Yarrowia lipolytica: one gene and its partner. The protein of the gene in region 1 binds, or shares a complex with, the protein of each later gene. Links are inferred from orthologs where the notes say so. Each region holds a gene or a part of one and is shown on either strand. Other genes may lie near its edges.

Region 1 (4,556 bases):
CTTGAGATGCCTTACGGAACTCTTGTGTGGGCCACCGGTAACACTGTGCGACCTGTTGTTCGAGAGCTCATGTCCAAGATCCCTGCTCAGAAGGGCTCCCGACGAGGTCTTCTTGTCAACGAGTACCTTGTTGTTGAGGGTACCGAGGGCATCTGGGCTCTTGGTGACTGTTCTGCCACCAAGTACGCACCCACTGCCCAGGTTGCCTCCCAGGAGGGATCCTACCTTGCTAACCTGCTCAACGGCATTGCTAAGACCGAGGACCTCAACAACGAGATCACCAACCTCGAGAAGCAGTCGGAGCACACCTTTGACGAGCAGGAGCGAAAGAACATCTTTGCTCAACTCGAGTCCAAGTCCCGAAAGCTGCGACGATCCAGAGCCATGCTGCCCTTCGAGTACTCTCACCAGGGTTCTCTGGCCTACATTGGTTCCGACCGAGCCGTTGCCGACCTGTCCTTCAACTTCTGGGGTATCATGAACTGGTCTTCCGGAGGAACCATGACCTACTACTTCTGGCGATCCGCCTACGTGTCCATGTGCTTCTCCATGCGAAACAAGATTCTTGTTTGCATTGATTGGATGAAGGTCCGAGTCTTCGGCCGTGATATCTCTCGAGAATAAGCGCATAAACCTATACAATAAATTTTAGATTGACAGTACAACTGAGGGCTGTAATGAGTAAGAGTGGTATCACTTGGTTGTATTTGACGGAACAGTTGTATACAATTATAAAGAGTTGCAGCTTCTCCATCTGCAGTATTGCTGTAAGCATGTTTGTGGAAGGTTTCATACTGAACAGAATCCCTCGTATAAGTGAACCCCAAAGCCAATGTTTTAGAGGCATTGAGACATAAGACTGCATGTTTCTTTTTGCTCATTTCACTTCTATATTTCTTTTTTGTGTCTGCCACTTCTGTATAATTCATTTCAATCAACACAATAGAGTTCCATAAGGCGTGTGGTGCATATTGTCAACTGTGGATACCTGTTCGTACAATACGTGAACATACTAACACACACCACAAATGATCACGAAAAGGCTACTGCGGTTCCTGCTGGGGCCTAGTTTTGCCACCAATGAGAATACAGAAACAGAATCTCTTGCTCTCAACCACGAATTGCTCAACGCCAAACACAAGATTCTCAACAGCTATGGACGGTCTTCCCTGGAGGCCGAGAAGATTGTACCTCCTCCTACTTCAGCCGCTGATCTGGACGCTCTGCTTGATCCTGCCGAATCAAACGACTATGTCGACAAGTGGATGCGAGCCTGGGAACTCGGTATTATCCCTGAGGGGATTGTTAGAGGTATAGAGATGATGGGCATGTGGCCCCTGGAGGTATCTTGGGCTAGATACCACACAATTGGCAGATCCGGAGGACAAACATACTGGCAACTACTGAAGGGAACTATCCACAGCGGCAATCCGTTCCCCGGATTCATGGCTTCCCTGGCGCAGAGTATGGTGGAGGAAGCTATCTCAGACCAACCGGACGCAGGCTCGTATACGTGGGAGAACGGGACCATGGTCAAAAGCGAACACAAAATCAACATCATAAGCGTGCTCAAGGGCAACCACACAATGGCTGAAATCATCCCCTTTGCCCTGAAACACTTCACGGCCTGCATCATGTCATTCCCCTTCTTCTACTACTCCTCCATGCAGATTTTGGGGGTGTACAACAACGTCGACACCCCCAACAACTCGCCCTGGGGCCCGTCTATTGCCTGGCTGCAGAATTTCTACAACCCCTGGACTCCAGCTCTACCCAATGTCGGAGTCATGGCCGTCTGGCATGTATCCAACTACTTTCTTGGTCTGGTGGGTCGAACGCATCTGGCTGAAATCAACAAGTCTCACGGACAAATGGGACCCGAAGTGGCCCATCATATGCCTCCATTTGCGGTTTTATATGAGAACTTCCTTCGATCATCCTTCATCATGAGATGCATGACTTCCAATCTGTTTGGTTTCTTCTTTTTCCGGTTTGCTGTCGGCAAATCTTTTGGGGATGACCTGCAGATTGATTTCCCAGATCTCTGCGGCGCTATTGCTGTTGATACCGTGGTTAGATGTGGTATCAACCACTTGTACATTCTGTCCACCTGGATTATTGAGAGATCTGTTTACGGGGCTGACACAGAGGAGGAGGAGACGTAAATGTACATAGGTCTACATCGCTACATAGTTGCATTATTTATTTGGTATTCAAGAAAGAGAGACATTTTTTTCCCCTTTGAACTGGTGTGCTCGTTTGTTGCATTTGTACATCAGGAAACGCGTTTCCCTTCGTCATTCCACATTTTAAAACATCACACTCTTATCCTTAATGACCATCCTAAACGGTACATGTTGCTTAATAATCAAACCCTAATAACAAGAATATGCATGGCTGGACTCCCCGGCCAAATTCGTCCAGTACACATCTTTTACACCAGCAACAACCAAACACAATGTCCGCTCGACGCTCGAGACGCAATTTTGATGACGACACGGTGGAAGCGTCCAGTGACAGCGAAGGCAAAAAGCGCAAGTCACGGGCCGCCGACAAAGCAGCAGCCGTACCTGAAGAGGATGAGGAGGTCGAGGACTCGGATGGACTGGTGGAGTCCGAGGAGGTTACACGGTGCATTTGTGGCCACGAAGAGTTGCATCTGGACCGGGCTGCCAAGGCTCTGGAAATTGATCAGGGTCTGTTTATCCAGTGTGATTCTTGCTCTGTGTGGCAGCATGGCTACTGTGTGGGCATGTACCAGGAGTCTGAAGTTCCCGATGTCTATTACTGTGAGAAATGCCGACCCGACCTCCATCAGATTTTCCTACGGCCAAGCGGCCAGACGTCCATCTACAACAAGTCTGCCGACGACGATGAAGACGAAGAAAACGAGGATGGCAACGATGAAGGCAATGGTAGCCGGGCTTCGGTCAAAGAAGAAGAGCTCCTCCCGCCAAAGCGTCAGCGCAGCAGCCGAGCGTCTTCTTCGACAGCCTCAGACAGCGGCACTGGTGCAACACGCGAGTCTGCCCGCGACCCTCCCCGAAGCAATGGAGAGGAGCCTGCAGCTGCTAGTGGCCCCAGACAACAGTCCGGGTCCACCCCCGAGCAGGGAGGAAAGCGAGGTACGGGTAGAAGTCGACGTCCCGATTCTGCTGCTTCTGCCGCTGGCTCTGCTGATGATGGCTCTGAAGACATCTCTGACGCAACTGGCGAGGCAGGCCGTGACTCAACTCGCAGCAGACGCAATTCGAGCTCTCGTCGTGAGATAACCACCTCGTCGCGACGTCGCAACAGAGACACATATGAGGAGACTCTCAAGCGGGTGCTTCAGGAGAGCGCCCGCGAAGCAGGCAAGGACAAGGAGGTCAAAGAGGAAACCACAACGAGCAAGAACTCTACGACCAACAACAATAACGCCACAGCCAACAACAGCAGCAGTAGCAAAAAGTCATCGCCTGAGACTACTGGCACTGCTTCTGGAGCAGCAGCTGCAACAAATGGAACAACCAACGGGTCAGCAGCAGCCTCGGGAACGTCGGAAACGCCGAAGCGGAAACGCGAACAGGAACTCCAGGCAAAGTCGGATATGGACGGCAGCGACTCGATGGACTCGCCTGTGGCCAAGGCCCGGAAAAAGCGCAAGACAAAGACGTCGGTGGGTGCTGGAGGAGCAGCCAACTCGCCGAAGCCGAAGGAGACACCCGAATACAATGACGAGCGGCCATCCAAGCCACGGGTACCTCATTCACGAACTACAATGAGCGAGATGCGACGACGGGTAGCTGCGATACTGGAATTTATTGGCCGCACACAGATGGACATGGCCAGTGACCAGAACAAGATTGGAGATCAGGTGGTGCTTAGCTCCACCTCTGCAGATATGATGGATGGACTAACTCGCAAGCTGCTTCTGTGGGAACAGGAGTACGGTAGATATGGCGAGCGAAGGTGATTAACAGAATATACTTAATTTATTGTATCATTATTATTTAAAGGTATTTTGCCGTCGGAATAGCCGCTCCGCAAAAACCGTTGCACGTTGTGTGAGAGGAAACCTATTACAGGTAACAATTGGGGATGTGTCTCAATTTTGGGTATTGCGATAAGCTAATTGTAGCGGTTACTACCTGATCTACAATGTAGCTTAGTGTCGGTTATCGATCTCTATATTCGTATATTAGATGCCAAGAACAAGAAGAATAATGTATGAAGTAGACATGTCATTTCGCTTAGGTGGTGCTGTGAGCCTTTGCGGGGGCCACTACAAATAATAGGGAAGTTTTGTATGCGTCTGCCATGTGCATTGCTCCGCTACTATTCACTTCAACATTCGACGCGTTTCTACAGTCATGGATGTGAGAGTGGCTGGGTTTATATTACGAAAAGGCTCCAATATGTTGAAACATTTAGTACAAGTACCTGTAGCTTGTTTTCTACTTCTCCCCATTTCTCCATCCCTCCAAGAACACTCCACATCAAGCAATTAGCCGTTGGGAAAGCCGAAAGTACAAGTAAGGTAAGTTGACTTGAACTACAGGTACAGTATTAGCTGC
Region 2 (4,345 bases), on another chromosome or scaffold:
GGCGATGCTACTACAGAGGACTCTGCCGAATCCGACTCTCCCACTGCCTCGCCCGCTCCTCCTGCCACTCTTGGCTCCATCATCGCTGCTGTCAAGGCCCATTCCTACGACTCTGAACTCTTTGATTCTTCCACTTCTACCAACCACCACAGCTTGTTGACTGCTCGACCTCGAGGTATTGTTAACAACGGCAACGTGTGTTTCATGAACTCTATTCTGCAGATTCTCGTCCACTGTCTACCCTTTTCTCGACTGATTGATTTGATTCGAGAAAAGGTGCCCCGGTCTCTTGACGGCGATTCTCCTCTGACTGAGGCTGTGGTTGATTTCCTTGACGACTACAAGCGAGGCGCCGTTAACGGAGTAAACGGTGGATCCACTCCTGCCACTTCCAAGCTGCCCGATATCACCATTGACTCCTTTTACAAGAGCATTGTCAGCGTGCCCCGGTTCAGCCATTTCCAGCGAGGCAAGCAGGAGGATGCTGAGGAGTTCCTTGGATACCTGCTTGACGGCCTGCATGAGGAGTTCGTAGCTGTGATTGGAGCCAGGGAGGAGGCTGCTGCTAAAGAGGAGGGTGCTACCGGCAGCGCTGAATGGACACAGGTGGGAGCCAAGAAGAACTCGACGACCCGATCGCCTCAGTTCCCCTGGTCGCCCGTGTCAGACATTTTCGGCGGCAAGTTTGAATCCAACCTCGATGTGCCCCGTCAGTCCGTCTCCAAGGTGCTGGAGCCCTTCCATGTTATCCATCTAGATGTGGAGAATCCCAACATTACTTCCGTGGAGTCCGGTTTCAAGGCTCTGTCTGCCAAAGAGCAGGTGGAGACGTTCGGAGAGGGTGGAAGACCCATCACGGGTGCTAGCAAGCAGACGTTACTGGAAGAACTACCCCGAATCCTTGTGGTGCAGCTCAAGCGGTTCACGTATTGCGGTGATGACCTGATGGATCTGCAGGTGCGAAAGATCAACAAGAAGATTTCGTACGGCGCGGACCTGTCTGTCCCCATGGAGTCGCTGTCTCTCAAGGCTAAGCAGCAGTTCCGAGCCTCGGGAGGCAAGTCCAACCAGTACAACCTCGTGGGTGTTGTTTTCCACCACGGAACCAGCACTACCACCGGTCACTACACTGTTAACGTGCTCGTGGGCGGTACCAAGTGGTACCGAATCGATGATGTGAAGATCGAGGCCATTCGAAACGAAAATTGGTACGCCAAGGAAGAGGATGGCAAGGACGACAAGACCGCATACCTGCTGATCTACCAGAGAGTTTAGACCTCCAGCGCAACCTCAGGATCCGATAGTTGGTTTCTCAGGTTGTTCTGCCAGTGATGAAAACTTCACAGGCTTAGTTGGTGGTGTGTGGTCCAGTGGGTGGTGTTACGCTTCTCGTTGGGCCGCTTGCCACATACCAACGTGGTGCGTGGATCTGACCACGAAAGCAGGTCCATACTGAAACTGATCGAGCTGCCTTGCCAGCTGCTGAGTCCGTCGTGTAGACGACGAGGAGAGGGAGACAATGTTTTCTGACTCGCCATGGAAGAGCCCTCCGCCGGGCTGCTTGCCAAATGTCAGCCCCAAAATAGCTGTATTTCTTAGACATTTATAGCTGAATGACTTGTATACATACTGGTAGGTGTAGGTAGACGCGACGTTTGGGTGCAAGTACTAGTAGCCATTGGTATGCTCATTGATATTGATTACTTGTTGTTGCTCACACACTCGTACAAGTACAAGTATAGTACTGTTGTGGTAGTACGAGTCTCACAGGGTTCTTCTCATGGAGCTCTCGGGTTCTGGAATGAAGGTCGAGACATACTGTAATGACTACACGGCAAGGCAACTGCCGTAGGGAATGACGTTCATTTTCGTATGTATTTACAAGTAGTATTTCTCCCTATTGACTTTGTTGCCATGCTACTACTGCAAATCCGTATAATGATCAACTATTATCAAATTCGAGCTGCTTTACCGACTGCCTTGCATCGATGATATCCCATAAATCTCGTACAGTACCTATACTGAGTAATTACGTCTCAAGTATAAAGGTCAACAAAAATAGTCATTTAGTTAACCTCAGCAATATTGGCTAACTTTAAAAATATTTCCTCCCACCGAAATTCGTTTACCCTACCTCATGCATGTTCATGCAGGTCACTTTCTCCGACATCATAACTTGTACACACCACACGTCATGAAAGGATACAACACTCGATCGTCGTCGCGCCGAGCCCAAGACAAGCCCGTAGGTCTGTATCCTGGTCTCAACGACCTCACTGATGCTCTGGAAGCCTTACCGCTCGAGACTGTGCGGCATTTCACTCTTCTGCGAGAAATCGACGCGAAATGTACCACGACTACTCCTCTTGTGGCGGATCTGATAGCCAAGTTTCTGGCTATTCCACCGGCGGCCAAGGACGACCCCGAGTGCGCGAAGAAAACGGAAGAACGGGAAAACATGCTGCTGGAGATTCGGGGTTTGATTCGAGAGCTCATGCCCTGTTTGGAGGAGAAAATGCACGTGGCTGGGGTGGCGGCCGAAGCGGTGGCACGACACATTTCGCGTATTGATGCCGATTATGAGCTAATCACTTCACGTGAGATCCCCCAGGTGATTCAGTACGGAGAGCCTGACCATCCTGCCATCATTGTGGATGTCAAGCCCTCTGTGGCCGAGCGAAGCGCACAGAGCCAGCGAAGCGAGTCGCGGCGGGAAGCCATTGCTGCGAAGAAGGCTGCCGCTGCTGCTGCCGCCGAGAAAAGCGGTAATGGAGGACGAAGAGGCACTCCCAGCAAGGAGGGAGGCAAGGACAGTGGAAAGGAGACTGGCGGCAAGAAGGCGGCAGCCACTAACGGCGCAGCTGCCGTGGGAGCCGGAGCCAAAAAGAATGGCGAGAAACGAACCGCTACCTCTGCTTCAGTGTCCGATACCGTGGCTTCTTCTGCCGCTGCTGCTGGAGCCAAGAAACGGAAGACTGCTGCCAAGGCTTCTCCTGCTCCTGGAAACAGAAAATCGCCTCCATCGTCAGACGACACACCCGCAGCTTCGGCTACCAGATCTGCTCGTTTGGTTAACAAATCGAGAAAGGGGCAGGAGGCTGCTGAGTCTGCCAAGGCCGCGGAGGAAGAGGAGGACGACGGAGAACCGGTCTACTGTTACTGTGAACAGGTGTCCTACGGAGAAATGGTGGCCTGTGATGGTCCCCAGTGCACCCGGGAGTGGTTCCATTTGCCTTGTTTGGGCCTCAGCTCGCCCCCCAAGGGTAACTGGTACTGTGATGAGTGCAAACAGGGTAGAAAGAGGTAGAGAGACAGACTCGGAAAGTCGTTCGTTGTTATTAGTGGGTGTGGATTCAACATCGGCTTTCGGATCTTGTGGTCATGAGAGCAGATATTCAGCGTGCGTGCCCATGCCTGGATGGGCTGCTCCACTTCTTAAGCTCCAATTGAGTGCCGAGACCGAGCCAGCCAGGATTCGAAGCCCTAGATATGATTCCAAGTCATCCGGGCATCTCCAAACATCTATCCTCTCAGTTATTTATTACGGCCCATTAATGCTTGGCCCGACACCGGTGTGCAAGGCTCGTGAGTGACTTCAGTCACACGTATTTAATGTATCTGTTTATTGTATTTTTAGTAGGAGGAGGCTGTAGCCAACAGGAGATGCGATGTCGAGACTTGAGACTTGAGATGGCGCACATTGAAGAACTGTGTTTACACGAAAAAGAGATTCAAGCAGCGGAATTCAAGAACGTGAGTTCTAATACCGGTACTTGTACTCATACCACAAGAAACATTGGTCAATTTGAGCAAGACAGGAACGAGTCCAAGTTGGGTATTTATTTGCGGTGCGTTTGAATTCCAAAATACTGGAACATTTTTTTATTTTTTTTACAATACATACGAGACAGTTGAGACATACGGCGAATATCAAGTATTATAGTTGAGTATTTCCTCAAGCTAACTAAAAGCGGACCTCTCACATCTAAACACTCTCCATTTGCTTGCAGTACCACTTCCAAAGGAACGAGGATTATGAGCGTGTTGTATAAAAAACATTGAGATAAGTAATTGTCAAATATAGTGAATAAAATACAATACACTCCACATTATCGAATTTGACGAGAACAGTGGTACATCCAGAAGTGATTTCAGCGGAAACTTAGTCAATGGACGTTCAACAAGAGGAAGAGTGATAGAAGAGACTCCATCATATCTGGATGTGATTGTTTCGGCAAGAAAAGCATCTATTTTGTGATTTTTTCCCCTTTTTTATATATATAATTGCTACACATTGCGATATTTGACACCCTCAATAGCTCCAAGCGCAACCAGTTCACGTGCG

The links.
Region 2: YALI1_F32512g (region 1) and YALI1_E10712g share a complex: the UniProt entries of both Saccharomyces cerevisiae proteins name them as parts of the RPD3C(L) complex. The link is inferred for Yarrowia lipolytica from reciprocal best matches to the Saccharomyces cerevisiae genes CTI6 and PHO23.

Annotation. Positions count from the first base shown.
Region 1 is NC_090775.1:3,248,823-3,253,378, forward strand, and holds YALI1_F32512g (uncharacterized protein), read left to right. Parts: upstream 1-2,389; coding exon 2,390-3,955; downstream 3,956-4,556. Other genes in the region: YALI1_F32476g (uncharacterized protein), read left to right, coding at 1-624; YALI1_F32498g (uncharacterized protein), read left to right, coding at 1,029-2,165. UniProt on the Saccharomyces cerevisiae protein: Component of the RPD3C(L) histone deacetylase complex (HDAC). Responsible for the deacetylation of lysine residues on the N-terminal part of the core histones (H2A, H2B, H3 and H4).
Region 2 is NC_090774.1:1,070,180-1,074,524, reverse strand, and holds YALI1_E10712g (uncharacterized protein), read left to right. Parts: upstream 1-2,194; coding exon 2,195-3,282; intron 3,283-3,325; coding exon 3,326-3,593; downstream 3,594-4,345. Other genes in the region: YALI1_E10755g (uncharacterized protein), read left to right, coding at 1-1,275. UniProt on the Saccharomyces cerevisiae protein: Component of the RPD3C(L) histone deacetylase complex (HDAC) responsible for the deacetylation of lysine residues on the N-terminal part of the core histones (H2A, H2B, H3 and H4).